3 linked regions of the Arabidopsis thaliana genome follow. The protein of the gene in region 3 interacts with the protein of the main gene of each other region in a pairwise test. Each region holds a gene or a part of one and is shown on either strand. Other genes may lie near its edges.

Region 1 (6,871 bases), on a different chromosome or scaffold from region 3:
TGCTAATGTGAGTGCTAAAGATGATCTAGTGAAGCAACATGTCAAAGTCGCTGAAGAAGCTGTCGCTGGTATCAATCTTTTTTTCTACATTTTTGTTTTATGATTCTGCGACTTTTTAGTGAAGATATATCTACTCTTGTTGTGAAGGGTGGGAGAAAGCTGAAAATGAAGTGGTTGAGTTAAAGGAGAAGCTTGAGGCTGCTGATGATAAGAATAGAGTGTTGGAAGATAGAGTAAGCCATCTTGATGGAGCTTTAAAGGAGTGTGTGAGACAGTTAAGGCAAGCAAGAGATGAACAAGAACAGAGAATTCAAGATGCTGTGATCGAGAGAACTCAGGAGTTGCAGTCTTCTAGAACCAGCCTTGAGAACCAGATTTTTGAAACTGCAACCAAGTCTGAGGAGCTTAGCCAAATGGCGGAATCTGTGGCGAAAGAAAACGTGATGCTTAGACACGAGCTTCTTGCGCGATGCGAAGAGCTAGAGATCAGAACTATTGAGAGGGATTTGAGTACCCAAGCAGCTGAAACCGCCAGCAAGCAGCAGTTAGATAGCATAAAGAAAGTGGCGAAACTTGAGGCTGAGTGCAGGAAGTTTCGGATGTTGGCTAAGTCATCAGCTTCGTTTAACGATCATCGATCTACAGATAGTCATTCTGATGGAGGGGAACGAATGGATGTGAGTTGCTCTGATTCATGGGCATCATCCACATTGATTGAGAAGAGAAGCCTTCAGGGAACTTCCTCTTCCATTGAACTTGATCTCATGGGTGATTTTCTTGAGATGGAACGTCTTGTAGCATTGCCTGAGACGCCAGATGGGAACGGTAAGAGTGGACCTGAATCAGTTACAGAAGAGGTTGTTGTTCCCTCAGAGAACTCGTTAGCTTCTGAAATAGAAGTACTGACTTCTCGCATTAAGGAACTTGAAGAGAAGTTGGAAAAGTTAGAAGCCGAGAAACATGAGCTCGAGAATGAAGTTAAATGTAACAGAGAAGAGGCTGTTGTTCATATAGAGAACTCAGAAGTACTGACTTCTCGAACTAAGGAACTTGAAGAAAAGTTGGAAAAGTTAGAAGCAGAGAAAGAGGAGCTCAAAAGTGAAGTTAAATGTAACAGAGAAAAGGCTGTTGTTCACGTAGAGAACTCATTGGCTGCTGAAATAGAAGTACTGACTTCTCGAACTAAGGAACTTGAAGAACAGTTGGAGAAGTTAGAAGCGGAGAAAGTTGAACTCGAAAGTGAAGTAAAATGTAACAGAGAAGAGGCTGTTGCTCAAGTAGAGAACTCGTTGGCTACTGAAATAGAAGTATTGACTTGCCGAATCAAGCAACTTGAGGAGAAGTTAGAGAAGTTGGAAGTAGAGAAAGATGAGCTCAAAAGTGAAGTTAAATGTAACAGGGAAGTGGAGAGCACATTGAGATTTGAGCTCGAAGCTATTGCTTGTGAAAAAATGGAGCTGGAAAATAAGTTGGAGAAGTTGGAAGTTGAGAAAGCTGAGCTGCAAATATCTTTTGACATAATCAAAGATAAATATGAAGAATCTCAAGTTTGTCTGCAAGAAATCGAGACGAAGCTGGGGGAGATACAAACGGAGATGAAACTCGTTAACGAACTAAAAGCTGAAGTAGAGTCTCAAACCATCGCAATGGAAGCAGATGCAAAGACTAAATCCGCAAAGATTGAATCTTTGGAAGAAGACATGAGAAAGGAGAGGTTTGCTTTTGATGAGCTTAGGAGAAAATGTGAGGCTCTTGAAGAAGAGATCTCTCTCCATAAAGAGAACTCAATCAAGAGTGAAAATAAAGAACCCAAGATCAAACAGGTCTGTCTCCAAAGTTCAGGTGTTAGTTAAACTTAGACTGTGTTCCATCACAATCACTTTTTTGTCCACTAAAACTTGATTACTATAATTCAGGAAGACATAGAAACAGCTGCAGGGAAACTTGCGAATTGTCAGAAAACAATAGCTTCATTGGGGAAACAGTTGCAGTCCCTTGCAACACTTGAAGATTTCTTAACCGATACACCGATAATTCCAATGGCTGCAAATGGTGTAAGCAGCAGCAGCAACTCAGAGAGTTGGAAGGTTCACAAAAACGAAACTTTCATGACAAGAAATCATCCTGAGTCCATCAAACCAACCAAAGAAACATCTCCATCTTCTTCTTCTTCTACTGCGTCTGCTGCTGTTTCAATGCCAGTTTCAACAAACCGAGGGAGTTCTGAGAAGAATCGCAATGGATTTGCAACAGTATTCACAAGAAGTAAAGACGGTATCCATCTGGCTATATAACATAACTTTGGCAGAGTAGGCAGAGAAACTTATCTCTTAGGGTTTAAAAAGGATCCGTTTTTAACACCACTTTGTTCCCTTTTCCAGATTTTGAATCCATAGTAGTAGTTTTAAAAGTTAATCTCTAGTGTAATGCAGTGGATGGATATTCCATAAAAGATGTTTCAAAAGTTTTCAATTTTCTGTTAAGAGGTTTTAGGAAGTTTCTATGTGATGTTGTTATGAATCATAATATAAGACAATAAAGAAGAGAAGCCACCATCATAAGAGAAGAATCAAAGACTAGGCATATAAAGAGGGTTCCTATAAAGAGAGAAACATACTATTGAAAAGTTCTTAGACTTGAATCTACTTGGAGACGAATATACATAATAAAGAAGACTGATTTAATGGACGATCAAATTTGCAAGTGTTGGAAGAGAAACTCGACTTGAACTCTAGCTTTCCTTGCTTTGGATTTAGCAGCTTTCCTTGCTTTACGTTTATCGCTAACCATCTTCTTCATAAGCTCCAGTTTATCTCTGATAAAATCTTCATGTCCAAATTCCAATACTCCAGTTCTTCCTTTAACTATTTTGAACCCATGAGAACGAAGGTTGGAGAAAAACCGTGAGAGGTTTGTGCCCAAGTCTACATATTTAGGCAGAATCCTTCTGTAAAACTCTCCAACATTCCAGATAATGAAACTGTTGTTGCTTTCGCTCCACGATATGATTGCATCCGTTGAAGCATCATCAACAACCTCATACACTCTCATGTAGAAATTGTAACCCATCCCTAAAACCTCACAAACTTCACAAATTAGAATCTTAGAATAATTAGGGTTTCGAGATTTTAGCATAGAGAGGAAGAGCAAGAGCATTATTTATAGACGAGCTATCAATTCAAAGGACGGTCAAGATATCAGCAAAATTTCAGCGGTCAGGATTAAAAGTTACAAAGTTTCCTTTTTTCTATTTTGTTTCCTTTTTTCTAATACGCATATATTATGTATATAAATAAGATAGCTTTCACCTAACAAGCATCCGAGGTTCTATGGTGTAGTGGTTAGCACTCTGGACTTTGAATCCAGCGACCTGGGTTCGACTCCCGGTAGGACCTCTTTTTGTTTCTTACATTTTTTTAGTTATTACTTTTCAAAATTAACCCTATTATATCACTCCCACTTCTCTTCTTCTTCTGTCGCCGAAAACGCAGCTTAAGCTAAAACCCCTCAGAGAGAACAATGAGCAAAATCGAGAGCTTTGATGATTTCGTCAAAGTACATGGAATACTTTTGGCGGCTTCAGGTTTGCCGCCGAAGCTTTACCCACGCCTCTTCGAGAAACTTGCTTACGATACTTTTGATGGCGGCGATTACTTCCAAATCGAATCCTGCGAGGATGATCAGCGACGGAAGCTTCTCCTCACTGCCGAATCTATGCCTAAAGATTCTGACGTCTTCCTTGTCGATCACGCCTGGACTTTTCGTCTTCCCGATGCCTATAAGCAGGTAACGCCTACTCTCACTCTCGAAAGAAGCTTATTGAATTTTGGATTGGTGATGAAGCTTAAGGTTTGTTTTAATCTCTTACTTCAGCTTAAGGAAATTCCTGGATTGGCTGAGAGGATGGCTTCTTTGATGAGTGTTGATATTGATGTGGATGCTGGAGAAGAAGAAGTGGCAGAGGAACTCTCTGTTGATCAGATAATTGACAATGAAATTCGTTATGCAGCAGATAAAGGATATGACTCTTTGAGATGGTTGGAGTTGGAGGGTCTTGGTGTTGATGACTCATTGTTGTCCCTGCATTTGCCTAGTAAATTTCAGGCATGTCTTTAGATCTTTCTTCTCCTTTAGTACTTTCATGCTAGACTCTAGCTCAGATGGTGAAGGTTTATTTCAAATGCTAGATTCTAAAGCTTCTTTGTTTGTGCTGCTGCCATTTTTTGGGTAGGATTTAGTGGCGCTTAGTCTTATCGGGAACAAAATAGAGAGTGCGGATGTGGTTATACAAGAGATTGTGAAGTTTAAGAATCTGAAGGCTTTGTGGCTGAATGACAATCCTGTTCTTCAGAAGAGGTAATCATGCATTTACAAAATATATGGATGTGTGTGGATATATAATTAATTTCTCATGTATTTCTTTTTTATGATTATTTTCAGTGAACGTCAGATGGCTGACGAAATATTGCAAGGCTGTCCGAGTCTTGAGATTTACAACTCGTGTTTTACCCCTAATTATGGGTTATGGGCACTTGGTTTCTGTGGAGATATCTTTGGGAAGGATAATCCTGGTTGTGTTCAGCAGGATCAACCCTTGTGCAATGTCACCTCACTTGACCTTTCAAACCGGTCAATACACAATCTAGTCAATAAGGTCAGTTTTGTCCCCCTACTTTCTCTCAGAGAGGCAGGGAGTGTAGTTTATTGACCGTAGAGGCTACAAGCATTGACGAAGGTGTATGTTTCAATTTTGTATTTTACGTGCCTGATTTATCTGCCTTTGCTTTCTTCATTTTCAGGCATTCTCTGTGCACGAGATGCCATTACTTTCTCATTTAAATATTCGTGGAAACTCATTGGATCAGAATTCTGTTGGAGAACTACTTGAAGTCTTGAAGCTCTTCCCTTCACTGTCTTCATTAGAGGTAAATGTTGGAAGTTGTCCTTATTCAGATACAAATTGAGGTTACTGTACAAAGTTAACTAAAATTTATTTATGCAGAGATGAGCTCACGTGTTACTTCTTGTTTGTAGGTTGACATACCTGGACCTCTTGGAATTAATGCTCTAGAGATTCTTGAATCGCTCTCAAACCTTTCTTTACTAAATGGCGTTGATACGGCAAAAATTTTGGAAACTGGAAAGCATGTTGTTGACTCAATGCTTCAACCACGCATTCCTGAGCTGAATCCTGATGATACTCTTGTTGATCGTGTTCTTGATGCAATGTGGTTGTATGCGCTGAATTATCGCCTTGCGGATGATGAAAAGCTTGATGAAACTTCTTTATGGTATGCAATGTTTCTCTTTTTTTTTGCTATATTAGAATTAGTGCGGTGGATTTGCTGGGGATAAGAAATAAAACTCACGGCTGTTTATATTTACTATTTAAACTATCATAACAATTTTCAGTTAAATAGACAAATTAGAGAAATCCAATATTTAATATTTGTGACGATTCTAATCCAACACTGAAAGCTGAAAGAGTTACCACTCTTTGTATGTCGGAATGACCATTTTCACTTTTGGAATGTATTCTCACCCTAGCATTTGTTTCTCTAGACTAAAGCCTTCTTTGATTTGACTGGGCGAGGTCTCCTTTGGTGTATATATGTGCAAAATTTCTATAGTATTGGGAATGAACATTTGATGCTAGTCTACTTCTTAAGAGGTTAGAATTAGGAGGGGGAATCAAACAGTTTATGGATAGTCTTGTCTGTAGTTCTTGGGCACATAATTTTTGGATATGTATGACTGTGAGTGGTGCAGTGATATCACTTTTTCGCAGGTATGTGATGGATGAATTGGGTTCAGCTTTGAGGCATAGTGATGAACCCAATTTCAAAGTAGCTCCCTTCCTTTTCATGCCTTCTGGGAAACTAGAATCTGCTGTGAGGTAGCAACTTTTAAAAAATTTCCTGCACTGCTCCTCGTATTTGTTAAATTCAACTTCTATGCGCTGTAAACACGTGTTATGTTGCTATAGTTCAAAAGTGTAATGTGGATTGACATGCGCTTCTTGATCAGGGCTCACATGTCATGTATGCAAATATTTTCTATCTTCATGTTTATTTGGTTTTATATGTTCCAGCTATTCGGTAATGTGGCCTATAAAGCATTCTCAAAAAGGTGATGAGTGCACTCGTGATTTTCTATCTGGTATTGGGGAGGACAAACAGCGGTCTGCGAGACTCACAGCCTGGTTTCAAACTCCTGAGAATTATTTTATTCATGTACTTCCTCGGTGTCCTCTTTAGCTTTCTGTTCATTAGCAGACTTCCTTTCCTCTCATTTCATACAAAGATTTTTGTTAATTAACAGATTCGCTGTCATGATTTCCTAGGAATTTGAGAAATACCAACAGAAACTGCAGGCCAAAGCCTTCGAGTCAAAACCTTCCAACCCTTCAGTTTCCCGAAGCATACAGCATAGTGATGGGTCTCCTTTGCTGGTTTACACGGATCTACCTCAAGTTGAAGAATTTCTGACACGCCCAGAATTTGTGATCAGTATGTGATTTGATCCATTTTTCATGATATCTACGTCTCATTGGATGGATATACTAAGCAATCGTCTGCATAAATGCATTAGACGAATCAAGAATTTTCTTTGTGTTTTCTGAGTTGTGTCACTTGCCTGCCTGCAGCAAATGAACCAAAAGATGCAGACATATTATGGACAAGTGTACAGGTGGATGATGAGCTCAAAAAAGAGGTGGGAATAACAGATGACCAGTACATAAATCAGTTTCCCTTTGAGGCATGTCTTGTTATGAAGCATCATCTTGCAGAGACTATTCAAATGGTAAATTCAGCAGATTATACCCTTAGATTATCATAGCACGTTAGTAACTTGTTTCTGAAATCCCTAT
Region 2 (7,039 bases), about 17 Mb from region 3:
GTATTCATCGAAAAATAAAAAGAAAGAAATAGAAACTCCTATTGAACCCCCTGGACAGTGAAACTTGTTATAGGTATGCTCTAGTAATATATGATGAGAAGATGTGTAAAGTACCTTTCTCGAGAAGTTTTCTCATGTTGGCAGCATCGGTGGCACGGTCACGGGTGAGGGCAACAGCAGGAATAGGAGAAAGCATAAGGGAGAGACGAGAGACACTGTAAGTGACGCAACAGATCTTACGTCCAAGAGCAATAGCAACGATGATGGGATCAAGCGCGGTACGGTGGTTAAGGACATAGAGGTTGCCAAGAGTTCCAGGGGAAGGAGGTGGAGGACGATGACCACGAATGGTTAAGTGGATCCCGAGCATCTCGTAAGTGTAACGGACAAATCTTTCAGGTAAAGGGAGGTTGAAGTAGACGCGAATGATGGAGAGGATGAAACCAAAAGGAAGCCATAGGTATGTGATAATGGCGTTTAACGGAGTTGGACGTTGCGCTAAACGCCCATCATGGAAGACTATGCGGTTCTTTAAGCGTTCTTTTGGAATCGTTGTGGCTGACTTGGTCGCATGAACCATGTAACCTTTCTGTTATAATACCAAAAACGTTATTCATTTCAAACTTATAACTAAAAGTACTAGGAAAATGTAACATATCTCTAAATTGTGTAATCAAGATTCAAAAAACTAAGCATTAAACAACAGAAGATTGTTTATGATATTTCAAGTATGTGTTCATTAAATGGACAGCCCAAAATGTTGGTGGAACTAGTAAGGTGGTTGGGGATAGAAAAATAATCCAGAGGGTCACGTGAAGTGATTGGTTGGATACATTTATGAACCTTACTAATTGCTTCCAAATCAAAAATTTCATTATTTTTATAAGATTCACGCGTAGACATAATGACACTAAACCAGTCAACAAGTTAAATTAGATTATCTAGCTTAATCAACAAGCAAATCAAACGTTTGCTTAGATTCTCAAGTTACCTCCAAAACACATCTTACACTAAACCAATCAACACTCAATAATTCAACTTAACTTTACCCTATAATCGACCAAGATTGGATAAAAAGATTGGAACAGTACCTTGCAGAGAGACATGAAATCATGATCAGAGGTTCGATCACCGAGGCCGAGATCAGGTGATTCGTTACCAAACTCTTTTAAAATGGCTAACCTCTTAAGATCACCAACAAGAACACCAGGCTTCTTCACAAATCCAGTGGCTCTATTGGTTTTAGGGTTAACTTCAATCTCTGTTCCCAAAACTTTATCACCTCCAAGATAATCCTTCACAAACGCCTCCACCATCACAATCGGATTCGCCGTCACTACCACTTTTCTCTTACACTTATCAAACACCTCAAAACTGTCTTTCCTCACATCCGCCGCGTAAAACCTAAACAAAGTTCATCAGAAAAAAACTAAAGTGATCTACTAACAAGAAAACACTCTATGTTAGATCTCGTACCGTGGAAGAACTGCGCGAGAGACAAGTTCGATATCGCGGATTTTGAGACCAGCGAATGAGATGAAGATGAGGATCTGGATACCAAGAGATTCGGATACGAATAGGTAAGAGATAATGACGAATGGTAACGAGAGAAGGAGGATTAGTCCACGTAAAAGGCTTCCAGCTTCAACAGCGACGAGCATGAAGTAAGGGAAGGAGCTTCTTGAGAGAAGCAGAGTCCCGTCAAGATCGGCGGCTATCGAATCGTACTCTCCGTCTCTGCATTCCGTTATTGGAGGGAAGTTTTGACTCTTCTTCTCCGGAGACATTTTCACTCGCTGTGTGTGTGTCTCTCTCTCTCACTCTCGTTAATGGCAGTTCTAAAGAACAGAGAGCAAAAATAAGAAGACAAGAGAGGGAACGTTATGTTTTAAATGCACCTATATTGAAGACCGTAATATTAATTCAGTGGGTTATATCTATAATCTATATCTATGTGAATGAATATGATATATATATATATATATGTATATGTCATTAACTATGAAATATCCACTAAGAGCGTAAAGTGTAGGGCCACATGTCGAATTCATTATATGAAAATGATTATATGCATCTATACATGTGGTGATATTGTTGACACAGTCGAATTGTCTATAATCTTTTTAGAGACTTTGTCTTAGATTTGGGTTTAATTATTTAGTTGAAGTGAAGTTGTTAGAAAAGTTTTAGATTTAATGTAGCTTAGATATCAACTATATATTGGTTTAGTTACTAAACCAATATATAGTTGATATTAGATTTTAATTGCATTACTGTTGGGAATAATTTAAATCTTGGAGATGATATTGAATAAACTCTGTTAAATTTCTTAACCCATCAAAATAGGGAAAATAATAAAGGATATTCTAGAAAGCTTTATGAAAGATCAGTGTTAGCCAAAACCGACAAGAACCGGACCAATACGGGCCGTAACCTCATTCTAGAAACGATCTTATCATTTCAATAGAGGCGGTGGCTCGAGTCAAAATCCCACGTGGATTAGGGTCAAGAAGACCTCTCTATAAAATGTAGGACTAATTCGACACAAAGGAAGGAACAAAATCGAGGACAAAACCGCAAAACACACGACTTAATTTTAAAACACGACTATAATTTATAGATTAACTTGTTATGCCTTGATTTTTGTATTTTGCAATCGATATTTTGACCAATAAAAAAATTATATTCGATTATTTTTATATTTTTTTTTGTAGAATGTCACAAATTGATTACTTTTGTCAAAATAATTAGTTAGTGTAAAAATATATATGACCACAACAACAACAAAAATTCTTCGTTGTGCAAGTTAGGTTGATCTTGTTCTCACTACTTGAGCAGTTGAGCTTAATTTGTTTATTTGACCGTTGGGAGTTGCACCGCTTTGAGCCGCACATTTATGCTCATTAAACATATTTATAAAAAAAACGCATGAAAGTGTTTGACCAGAGACAAAGTGTATTAGAAATTCACTAGGCTTACACAAAAAGGCATGTTGAGCTGTATTAGAAGACCCTTAACAGGCCTCCATACTAGTCTTGAAGATGGGCCGAAATTCACTAGGCTTAAAGATGCGCCGATATTCACTAGTCTTAAAGATGGCACCACAGATGGCTCCGAGACATTGCATAATCATGTAGAACACTGCTCTGGTCAGAGACAATTTCCGAGCCAAGAACAGACCAAATGTTACGAAGAATGGATTATATAATACAGTACAGTATATGGTTTTGCCTTCTTATATATGTCCACATCATTTAAAATCTTAAACCAAAATTGAATAATTTAAATAACTCATAAAACTTTTATATGTATGCTTGTCTTACATTCAAAATGCGCATTATCACTAGTTTAATATTTCTATAACTGATCAGTTTTTAATTGGTTGACACCAAATGAAGTGGTCACTGACGCTATAGGATTCTATTGGGCTGCATATTAAAGTTTTTTTAAGAATTGGAACTTTTAATATTATCTAGGGTTGAAGGAACTAAAACGCCTGTCCTACTGATGTAAGGCTAGCCCTAACCTACATGTATCTCAAGCGTCCAAATTTACGTTAATACAATTTTCAAAGCATTGTTTTTCCTCTCCTTGGAGAAAGTACATGCAAAATCAAAATTAATGGCTCCGACTTTTCGAATCACCGCAAGCTACTATCTCTTCGAGTTCTGGTTATAATAGTACTTGATTAGATACTTCTTATAAGGCTTAAAAGCCAACTTAAATGCTATTGCAGTAAAGATTTCATTCCTTCTTCACTTCACTTTACGAATCTAAAGGATATATTTAGTTCTTCTTCACTTCAACTAAAAGGCTAAACTCCCAAAAAAATATTTTTATCTCTCTCAAAACTTGAAATATGGTGAGGAAGACTACTCAAGCTACATCTCACAAGGTATCGACAATATTTTATTTTTATTATTGCATGAAGATTTGTTTTGTCAATGCATGAAGATCCCAAAACTTGAAATATGGTGTTTTATTTTTATCATTACATGAAGATTCGTTTTTTATCATTGCATCTCACAAGGTATCGACAATGTTTTATTTTTATCTTAGTCTTTGTTTGGTTTTATGTGTGTAGTGAAAACCACGTTAATTGACTCATACGCTGCACAATGTTGGAAGTGTCTTAAAGTGAGATCTATAGAGTCACAAGAAGATTATGAAGAGATTCGTAGTAAAACACTGGAAAAGTTTTTTGAATGCAAGAGATGTGAAGAACCTGGAGATATGGTAATGAACTTTGATTCCCTTACTATGCGTTGGTTTCAGGATGAACATAGTATACCCAAAACCCCTCAAGGTTTGAAGAGAGTTTTGGTCGTGAGAACAAACTGCGTGAAAGTCGATGTTTACTATGAATCATTGGCTCCTAGACGAAAGAGGTTTAAATCTATAAAGGAAGTTGCAACGTTTATTGAAGACAAGGAAGAATTTAAAGACATGACGCTTGAAGAGGTTTCTTTTGCCGCACCCAAACGGCTGAAACTAAAAAAGAAACCTGTCGATAGTCATTCTAGCTCAAGGAACACTGAGGAAGATGGTGTCTCGAGAGATGCTTAGTTTTGTCTGCTATCACTTATCAGGATCATTCATCGCTTCTCTTTATCTCTTCTCTTTTGAACTTTTGGTTTTTGTCTTTGATTTCTTTTGGTTTTTGTCGTTGAACATTTGATGCTTTATGTTTTCCCAGTTTAAGCAATTTATTTCCTCTTTTATCATATCTTTTATCATGTACTTGAGTAATCTGCCTAGTAATCTCCTTCTCTCTGAACAAACTGCTACCTAAATTACTAGCAGCAAACTTTGAATCATACACGCTTCTTAGAATTCAAAGCTTCTGAAAGTCCATCTTTGAACAACTCAACCTTTGATTTATCTTTGCACTTCTGATATTTTGACAGTCTTAGACCATTCTGGTAGCTTTCCTTGTAGCTATCTCACACTAACTGATACAGTGACGTTCTTGAGGCCCTTTTAACACAATGATTTAATCAACCTTGAGATCTTTGCAAATCATAGCTTTTGATCATTCTCTGAAATTCCTTCTCTTTGAAGCAACAATATCGAAGGTCTCTTTCTCCTTGTGATAGCAACAGATTCATAAATACTTCAATATGCGAATCCTTCTCTTTAAGAACGAGCTATGAGAAGACTGATTCTTCACCACTAACTTGTGTTTTACGTTTCTTCAACAAACTTAATTACAGGTTCTTTCATATTAATAACTCTTCATGATAAACCAAGTTCTGAAGATGCCAACGTAGAGATCAGTCTCAGACTCCATTACTCAAATGCCTTGTAGTTTCAAGCCAATGCTGACATTCATGTCTCTTTGCCTTTCATGTCACTAAAAACTCTTCGTTCCATAAGACTCTGTATCAACTGTTCTGAAGGGTCATCAGTAAGCTATGTTCCCGGACTCCAAATTGAGTGTCCTTATACCAGAATCTTGTCTCACATGTCTAGAATATCTCTGACAAAATTCATCCCATTCAGAACTCATTTGGTCATCCGTGTGATGTTTCCACCGAAACTGGTCAAAACTGAAACTTCAGATGAATTGTGCCCGGATCAGGTTGAAGAATCTCAAATAACACACAAACCAACCGTCAAAATCTCAATCCCACCGTTGAAAATCAAGACAGAAAAGCTTGCCACAAAGTTTCGGCTCGATCAGATTACATTTCACCAACCAAACGTTTCCTTGAATTAGACATTTCAGAACTGGTTCATATCTCCTCTTTCTTCTCTTCTCCCCCATGGTTGCACTTTGTTAATCTCTTTCATCACACAACATTCTTTATGTGACCAACAAGATCATCTTTTCCTTAAAAATGTGCTCTCCAAGCTAGCCTTTAAGATTCTATTTTACAGTTTCTTGTCTTAAGGCAACTAAAATTCTGCCTGTGAGACAATCTCTAAGAGATCTATAATCTACATAACCTTAATCTTGTTATTTGCACCGGAATCTCAGACTTAAAGTTTCTCAGAAGAAATAAGATGATGATGTTTATCGCCCTTGCTAGAATCACCGGAGTAACCAAAGCACCACATAGCATATGAAAAATTCCCAACTGTTTAGCTATGTGGTAAGATGAAAATTTTCGATGTGGTATAAAGGCAGCTTAGGTTAAGACAGCTTCGAGGCACTAGTAGTAGATTTTTATGTGTTATAAAGGCAGACTCATTACAAATTTTGTTTACTCAGAATAGATATCAAACTTATGAAACCTATCAAAATGCTAATTTTCATTGAAGATGGCATGAGCCAAACGAAGGTTGGCAATAGCTAAGGTCAAACCAACAAAAGTTTGCGACTTGCGTATATAGTTATATCAAAGGAAAGTTGACGCGAGATATAGTCAAAGTATCAAAATAGACATTTGCATAGATAGACAAAAAATAACGCAGGTTAAAGGTACACATGAAAATAGTCTCATAAAAGATGAGTATTTTGTGACCTTTTGAGCATCCTAGGTAGAGCTTATATCAAAAGCTAATCCTTAAGGCCGATAAACATAAACAAAAGTAATCACCTTAACAGATTCTAACTGGCAAAGATCATTACACGGGTTCACCTGTTACCATCATCTTCGATATCGGTTTACTCCGTCCTTTACGACCAGAAGCTTTCTCTGTTTGAAGGGTATAACCCACATTCTTAAGATACCAAAGTGCTGCTTCTGCTGCCTGCTCAGCTGCGATTTTCTTCTTGTACTGTGGATTCCCAAAACACTCCAAAACCGTTATCCGAGAATCCTCCTTCATTTCAACCGTAACTTTGCCTGTAAATCTGAACAAAACAAAAGAAAAACATGAATGATGCTGACACTAAAGATTTCTAACCTTTAAAATGTGAAAAGAGTGCAGAAATTATGTGCTCTTACATTTTCATATGGCAAGGACCCTCGGCGATATACTCATACAGTGGTGCTTTCCAATGCCTCACACTACATAAATTATACAACTGTGATTTGGCTGAAGATCTCTGAGTTTCTTCTAAACAACATGCATGTGAACAACAGAACAAAAT
Region 3 (8,537 bases):
TTTGGTCTTAATGTCTATATGGACAAGTACAAAAGTCAAAAGATAATTGGTGATTAGAAATATAAATAGACAGCATTATGGATGCGAATTTTAATTGAACATTTCAAAATTTAGGACACGAAACATGCGTTGGCAACAAAATTCGTCTTACGTCATCATTACTTTTTTTTTCTAATCAAACTGGATTAAACATCTGGGCTAACCAGGAACCGACACAGAGTCATCACAGTCACATTCACAAGTAATAGATCCGTGTAATAATCCGACAAAAATTAATCAATCAAATCATATCCTAATGTTACATTAATTCTGTGAATCTATAAAATAATAAGACACAGGGGAGAAAAAAACAAATATTATTCTAAGAAATGGATCTAACATCGATTTAGGTAAACTTAAAGGATTTCGAATCGAATCACACTTTTGAACCATCATTGTTCACTGAATCTCTCATAAACCCAATAGCCGAAGAAGATTAGAAAGAAGAAATCATATTATCGGATCGTTGTGTACCTTCTTGGCTGCTATCTCGACCAACTTCTTCACGAACATCTTTTATCCAACGGTGAAGTTAACTTATAACCCGAAGCGAACAAATGAAAATAGACAAAGATCAAACACGAAATTTTTGAGAGTCTTTGAGATCACCAAATCACTGGTTCAATTCCTCGGACATTAGAGAGAAGATAGAGAGAGATAGAAAGAAAAAGAAGAAGAAAAAGAAGAAGAAGAAGAAGAAGAAGTGAGTGTTGAGAAGTAACGGTTCCTTTGATTTGACGGTTTATTATAAACGGCGAAAATTATAAAGTTAATTCATCATAACATTTATGGCAACATATCATATACTATTATTTCATTTTAGTCAATATTCATGTGATGTAATTAAGATTAATCATTTCAATTTTCAACACATTTTTAAGTATTTCCAACGAATTTGACCACACAAAACAAAAAAAATCAAAGAAATACACATTTTATTACTGAATTGTGTCTTTCCAAAATTTCAACTAAAATTCATTAGATATTCAAATGTGTATATAAATTTTTTGATTGATTTTCATTTCAAAAGGACAAAATCATACTTTTTCTTGGTAATTTATGAAAATTTTAACACATAGGTGGCATATATATAGTATTCGTGACAAAATAATATCTAAACTATAATAAACATTTTAAAACGAATTAAAATTGTTGTATTCTAGTCGGAAATTTGTAATTAACCTGCAAATGAAATCTAAATATCCACTAATTAAAAGTATTTTTGAATTCTGATAAAACTCTAGCGTCGCGGATATTCTATTGATCAAAAATAAAATAATTTACTACCACATAAATCTTAATCCATGCGATAAGAGTACATATGTAGGACAATGGTCCTTATTAACTCATCCAACCAACACATGACTTGGAGCTTTTGCAGGTCTCTTTTTGAGTAGAGTGAAAGCTCAATAGGCCAGATTAATTAAAAATTTACATAGAAACTTTAATCTAATTAATTAAAAAAAAATTATTTTCGCATCTAACAAAGATTCAATGTTTTTGTGTGTTTATAATGATCAGATTAATCATATTTTTTTGTTTTTGGTAAGAAGATCAGCTAAATTGATAGATATTCTACTCTTTTCTCTTTTATGTGAATCAGGTTGTGGAAAACAAGTCAATAGAGTACACGTGGCAAGTGCTAATCTGTTATAGGGGTCCCTCTAAGATGAAGTTGGTGATCTGATCTGCCCTTTTTAACGTGGTCTCACGAGAGACGTCCGATATGTAGATGGACGGTGTGAGATGACGCTGCCTTTTTCTTTGAGTGCTCTGACCACCGACTATTTTGATCTATAAATAAATGAAAATACAAGAAAAACTCATAAACATTAGTATTTGTTGTCTTTTTGATAAAAGCTAAAAATATATATTTTGCAATTGCCATTTTCTATTGCGATTCTTAGCGTAATAGAATGGGTTGTATGTGAAAGCAACAACCAAAGTTAGACCCATCCTGAATATATCATTCCTCTGATACGGTCTCTTTAACTTTGTGGGTTTTTTTTTTTTTCCTTGAATAGCTTTTGTTTTATATATTATTGGATTTCTCAACTTTATTTATCCACTTTGAATTGATAACTACAACTCTACAAGCTACAGCCATCCTAACGAAAACTGAAATATCTTATTCTCCTTTTAAAGTGAAACGTTGTTCTCGTTCACCATCAAGAAGGATAATATATACAACAAGATCAAGATAAGTAATACTAGTGAAACGGTTTCTGTAATGACATTAGAAAAACCGAGACACCAAAAAACGTGAAAACTTTAACAGAGATTCGGTTATTAGTGCGAAGTTCGATATTTGATCAAAATCAACACATTTGTAACGTCTAGATGGTGAGTAAACAGCAGCACACAATGACACACAAACAAAAAAAACACTAATCCATTATACAACAATTGATCCTACCGTCAACCTGGTGGGCTGAGATGGGCTGTTAGGAGATAATAAATATAGGCCTGGATAAATCATTTTTTAAGTACTGGTGCAATAAGTAAGTTGTCTTCACTTTGAGTTCAAGTTTTGTTCATACTGAAGCTTTTTTCTTTTTCTTTTCACAATCCTACTATATATATACGTTTTTAAGTAAGATTCACCGTATATATTTATTTTCTTTGGTAGGGAAAGATTCAGCGTATAATAATAATTAGCAGTGGTCAACAGGGTAAAAAACAACAGTAAGTAGATTTGTAAACCGGGATTAAGAATATAGATTTCAATGATAGGAAACAGAGAAGAAAGCATAAAATAAGGATAGAAGACAAGAGAAGCTATAGGTACACCAAACTCTCCAATCTAAAAGAAGAATCCAAAGAAAGCTGGGCCAAAGAGAATCCAATGGGTTATAATATGGCTCATCACTAAGTCAGTCATGTAATTAAGATTATGTATATATATATGGACAAATTTGTATGCAACTATTTTCATCTATATTTAAATTCCTTATCATTTGGTCGATTGATAATGCTTACGTAAATAATGTCTTGTTCTGGATATTTCCGTTTGTGTCTCTATATTGTCCCGGTGGTTGAATGTTCTACTCCTAGACATAAACTAGAAAATAATCATCTAATGTATAATTTTAAAAATAAATGATTATTATACTGGTAAATTTTTTAAATTAATGAGCTTTGTTAGTAAAAAATCTCAACTTAATTAATCAAAAAATCATCTAATGTAAATTATTCTTTTCTGTAATATATATATATATATATATATATATATAATTCAAGTATTAGAATATTTAAATTTTGTGAGTATTAATCTAATTTTCCTATCATCTAATGACAATAAATAAAATGTATCTATATTTGTGTGAATATGGACTTTTTGGTATTTAGATAGACTGCTTCTGCTTGGTCTCGATACTTGACTTAGGGTCGCACATGCAAACCTCATTATTTTCTTCCATAATGTTGACAATTAAAAAAATTACCGAAACGAAAACACTTTCCGGAAAAAACGATGAGGCGTTATATCATTTAAAGAAAAAACGACGATACTAATTAAATAAACAAAAGTTCCGATAATTTTTACGTATAGGTTACGAAGACAATGACTTGAATAGAATTGTGAAGCAAGTATAAATTTCAAGTTTTGGCTGAAAAATTAAAGTAATAATTTGTGTATTAGTGTAAAAAAAAAAGTCACAGAATTAAGTAGAAGAGCTAATTATTTACACGTTCCGACAAAACACTACTACGCCCCCGACTACGATACGGCATGAGTCATGACCACATATTATATTTTTCTTTATCTTCATGTTTTTGTCGACCATGGTCACATTTCATTGTTTGGCCTGGTTATTCGACAGAGATCAATTTTATTGGCAATTAATGAGTCAGATTAGATCATATTAAAATCTAAGTGCGCCCGTGGAACATGGGCGGCGGACACCGACCACCTACAAATTCTACTGTTTAAACGACACGTGGAAACTATTTATTTTCTTTTTGGGTCGCCGCTCCTTAACTTATAAGTCCTGACTGGCCCAACAATTTTTTTTTTCTTTTTGGTTTTTCTTAAAGGTTTCTTATTGAATTAGATGATAGGGATTGCAAAAGACGGTGAAGCTAATACTCTTCTATAGAATAATTGAGAAAAATATAACCTAGAATGTGTCAGAAAAGTTAGATCGCAACCAAAATTTATCAATCAACGGAATGTCAGTTAATCGGTCAGGAAAAGAGGCAATTAAAAGTGTTTATTTATTTTGCCACAAGTGCTCTTTATCGCATTTTTAAAAAGTTGTATACCACCATTTTGACTGTTGACCCAAAAATATAACACAAATTGGACTAAAAAAGCATAAGGAAAAAACTTTTCGGTGTAAACAAAATACATAACTTGAAGAATGGATATTGAAAAGAAAAAAGTAATTCAGTTTCTTGAAAAGTACCAACCAACGACTATAAAAAAAAACTAACAATCTACTTCATTGATACGATCAAACTAGCTGTTAATATTTGTATCAAGTCGATTGCATCCAGACATGTTATTTCCATAAAATAAAATAGCAACGGCTCTCTCCAACTATAAATCAAATAACATTTAGATTATGGTAATGTAAATATTCAGATATGGAAGTAGCCGTTTAACCGTATGTGAAATCTCAAACGGTCAATTTCCAAATTAGGAACTAAAATAACCGTTGGTTAAATAGTTTCCTTTAACGATTGTCAAAGAATCATTACCGTCTTCTTATTTGTCTTTTCCTTTGTAATGAAACTATATATTATAATTTCAATATAGAACAAAAGAATAACATAAATTAAGTTTTTTTTGTCCTTTTCTGCCTTTACCTTTCCTTCTACTCCCGAAAAAGCACTGACTTTGCTCTGTTTCCTTCGTTCACACAGAGAAAGAGAGAAATCTTCTGAGCGAAATTCTGACAAAAGAGATGATGGAATGGGATAATCAGCTACAACCCAATAACCATCACTCTTCTAATCTTCAAGGGATCGACGTTAATGGCGGCTCCGGCGCCGGAGGAGGAATGTACGTGAAGGTGATGACCGATGAGCAGTATGAAACTCTCAGGAAACAGATTGCTATTTACGGCACCATTTGTGAGCGTCTTGTTGAGATGCATAAAACTCTCACTGCTCAACAAGATCTTGCAGGTTTCTATCCTTTCTTCTATCATTTAGTTTCTTCTTCTCTGTTCATCTAAAGATAAAAAAAGGACTCCTTTTGAAATTTTTAAAAAAATTCAGAATTTTTGTGTGGTTTAATTGATTTTTTAGTGATTCTTCTTCACTTTGGTGTATGGGTAATTGAAAATTCTCTGCCTTTTAAGCATTTGTTGGCTTAAATCTGATTCAAAGACCAATCCTTTTCGTGGATTTTTGAGCTAAGAATAAGGAAAATAATGGTTCTTGAGGAATTCTAGAATCACTCCTTTGAATCTTTCAATTGAGCTTCGAGAATTTCCCACCAAAATAGGTGTTTTTAGCTTGATGATGTGTTCTTGAGATATAAAGTTTCAGTTTTTTTATTTAGTTTAACTTTTAACAACTCTGCTCATTTGTCTGTTGTTGGTAACAGGAGGGAGAATGGGAGGACTATATGCAGACCCAATGATGTCATCTTTAGGTCATAAGATGACAGCTAGACAGAGGTGGACTCCTACGCCAGTCCAGCTTCAGATTCTGGAACGTATATTCGATCAAGGCACGGGAACACCGAGCAAGCAGAAGATCAAAGACATAACAGAAGAGCTGAGCCAACACGGCCAGATTGCTGAACAAAATGTCTATAACTGGTTCCAGAACCGACGTGCTCGATCCAAGAGGAAGCAGCATGGTGGAGGTTCTTCTGGAAATAATAATGGTGAGTCTGAGGTAGAGACTGAAGTTGAAGCATTGAATGAGAAGAGAGTAGTGAGGCCAGAGAGTCTTCTTGGTCTTCCAGATGGAAATAGCAACAATAATGGGTTAGGGACAACAACAGCAACAACTACTGCTCCTAGGCCTGAAGATCTTTGCTTTCAGAGCCCTGAGATTAGCTCAGACCTTCACTTGCTAGATGTTCTATCAAACCCAAGTAAGTAACAAAGATACCTTTTTAGTTCACACGTAACTGAAAAAAACAGAGACATTGGCTTTGAAGAAATAGTCAAGTAAGTTGTGTCTGTCTCAGATAATTTCTTGTGATTTGTGTTTGTAGGGGATGAGCATCTTGTTGGAAAGATGGGACTGGCGGAAAGTTACAACCTTTATGATCATGTTGAAGATTATGGCATGTCAGGCTGATTGAATACAAGCTGAGGAAACTTCTAATTATCAGAGAGATCAATGAAATGGATTTGGTAGTCAGTCATAAGCAGTATTAGACTTTTGTTTTTCTTAAATTGTTTCTTTCAGGGCTTATTAAAGAAACAAGTAGTTTATCTTATTAATCATTTTCAGAGAAACATTTACATGGATTGTTGAATCGTCTTGTGATGCTTGCTTTGATAATTTCTGCATTCAGAACGATTTTTACATCCTTAAATGAATTATACTGTAAGAAATAAAAAAATTCCAAGAGAAAAACATTTCAATTCAAACCTCTCCAGAGTTGAAAACATGCAAGTCTAACAAAGTTTTGTAATGGCCTTTCTCTATTTCTTCCTCATTCACATTGTGTAAGACCAGAGTCTGTATAACCAAATCCTCCCAATCAATTTCAGATCCTTTCTTCCTTTTCTTCTTGCTATGTTCAAGCTCCAAAGACAACGCACCTTCACTAACATTGTCAGAAGGATGTTGTATTGCATTAATCCGCAACTTAGCTGCCTTAATCTTTTCTCTTCGTCTTTCAACTGCAACGCAACCCTTTATGTAAGAAGGAGGCAAAGCTTCAAGCCCTACATCTTTCTCCAACAAGTCTTTGAGCAAAAGCCTTTTACTCAATTCCGATTTCCCTTTCCACCAATTTTCAGTTGACACCATTCCAAAAACAGATCTCCTTTGCCACATACTCTGACTACTTCCCTGACTTCTTTTCGCAAGAGTCCCACCACAAACTCGATCCTCAAATTCATTATACTTTGTAGACAACTGATTCTCCGATATATTATCATCATAGTTACATAAACTAAGCTGACGTTCACCTTCTACATCAAAATACCGAGACATAGTATCTTGACGAGCATCATCATCATAACAATACATAGATTCTTTGCTTAGGCAGTCCATCACTAAATCCTCCACACAAAATCCATCAGTTCTAACTAATTCTTTCCCAGTCCCTTGTTTTCTCTTTTTCATGGACTTGGCTTCCATTAAAGCAAACAAAGTTCCTGAATGTTTCAAAACATTCTTCACAGTAACATCTTTCGCCCAAGGCAAACCCACCTCTTCAGCAACCTTCACAAGCTTCTCAGATAACTCTTTATACCGCGTTTTACAAGTAGTCAACGAAACACTAGCATCTTTCGCCAAATCATCAATCTTTACCTTCACACCATTCACTTGAACAACAAACGCCAAAACAGCCACAACCAAAGGCATTGGTCTCCTCCCCGTCGACAAAAACCATTTCAACGCACAATTCATCAGGAAAGTCCCTTGCTTTATTATCTTCTCCTTCTTATCCCTATCAACATCAGTCAATCTCGGTGAATTAGTAACCGTCTTGGTAAACAAACCCACAAGATCAAACTCTCGCAATTCCAAATCTAGATGATCCACAACACGCTTAATCATAGGCCCTAACTGATGCAAATCACATCCAACTTCATAAGCAACCTCTTCCATAGACAAAACACCTTTCCCTTCTTCTCTTACCACAGCATAACAACAAGCTCCAATCAAAATAGGGAACCACTCACCTTGTCCAAATTCCCCATCAGTAAGCTTACTAATCATACTCTTAATCACTTCAGTTTTATTACCAAGATTCAATCTTTCTGTTGTCTCCTCAATTAAATTGTTGGCTTCATAGATCTTCTTGTCTTTATAATCAAGAACAGAGCCTCTACCAATGGTGCCTACTCGTATATATGTACCTTGAGGTCCTCTTATGCCGCCAAGTTGTGCCTCATAATTATCATACTCTCGTAATGTCCCACATCCACCGCAATACGAATTCCCCGTGTCTTCGTCGCGTTCAAAGTTGCTTCCATTGCATCTCTTGCAACGCATGATTCAAACCGAAAGCTTCACACTTTAAATTACGGGTTTTTTTTTCCGACAAGCAGAAGAATGAGATTCGGATCGCCGGCGAATCGAGAAGTACTGGAGAGAGAAATCAAAACTAATTAAGATTTGACCTTTCCTTAAAAATAAGCTAGGTTTTTATATTGTCGAGATGAAAACGGCATGATGTTAATATGAATAAAACAAAAACGCCAGGGTGTTTTATTTAGGACGCCACACAGTTTGTATTATTTTCTCTCTTTTGGCTTTTTGTTGTCTCCTCCACCATAGTGCCGTCTTTTATCTCTTTACCGGTAAGAGAAGCCGGTTTCAGATTTGATCAATTCGAAGAATTGTGGCTTTCGTTC

What was found.
Region 1: the proteins of WOX13 (region 3) and AT1G77570 interact in a two-hybrid assay, tested with the Arabidopsis thaliana proteins (one large-scale study listed by BioGRID).
Region 2: the proteins of WOX13 (region 3) and MBD3 interact in a two-hybrid assay, tested with the Arabidopsis thaliana proteins (one large-scale study listed by BioGRID).

Annotation. Positions count from the first base shown.
Region 1 is NC_003070.9:29,139,614-29,146,484, reverse strand, and holds AT1G77570 (Winged helix-turn-helix transcription repressor DNA-binding protein), read right to left. Parts: upstream 3,136-6,871; coding exon 2,692-3,135; 3' UTR 2,474-2,691; downstream 1-2,473. Other genes in the region: AT1G77580 (filament-like protein (DUF869)), read left to right, coding at 1-68, 148-1,823, 1,917-2,294; AT1G77550 (tubulin-tyrosine ligase), read left to right, coding at 3,520-3,786, 3,874-4,104, 4,232-4,356, 4,441-4,654, 4,800-4,925, 5,035-5,291, 5,789-5,896, 6,092-6,233 and 2 more.
Region 2 is NC_003075.7:174,948-181,986, forward strand, and holds MBD3 (methyl-CPG-binding domain 3), read left to right. Parts: upstream 1-4,074; coding exon 4,075-4,566; downstream 4,567-7,039. Other genes in the region: GPAT8 (glycerol-3-phosphate acyltransferase 8), read right to left, coding at 115-589, 1,092-1,404, 1,477-1,787; AT4G00420 (Double-stranded RNA-binding domain (DsRBD)-containing protein), read right to left, coding at 6,571-6,799, 6,894-7,005. UniProt on the Arabidopsis thaliana protein: Probable transcriptional regulator.
Region 3 is NC_003075.7:16,873,577-16,882,113, reverse strand, and holds WOX13 (WUSCHEL related homeobox 13), read left to right. Parts: upstream 1-4,662; 5' UTR 4,663-4,946; coding exon 4,947-5,169; intron 5,170-5,593; coding exon 5,594-6,091; intron 6,092-6,214; coding exon 6,215-6,300; 3' UTR 6,301-6,591; downstream 6,592-8,537. Other genes in the region: DAW1 (Transducin/WD40 repeat-like superfamily protein), read right to left, coding at 514-552; AT4G35540 (POLLEN-EXPRESSED TRANSCRIPTION FACTOR 2), read right to left, coding at 6,592-8,175.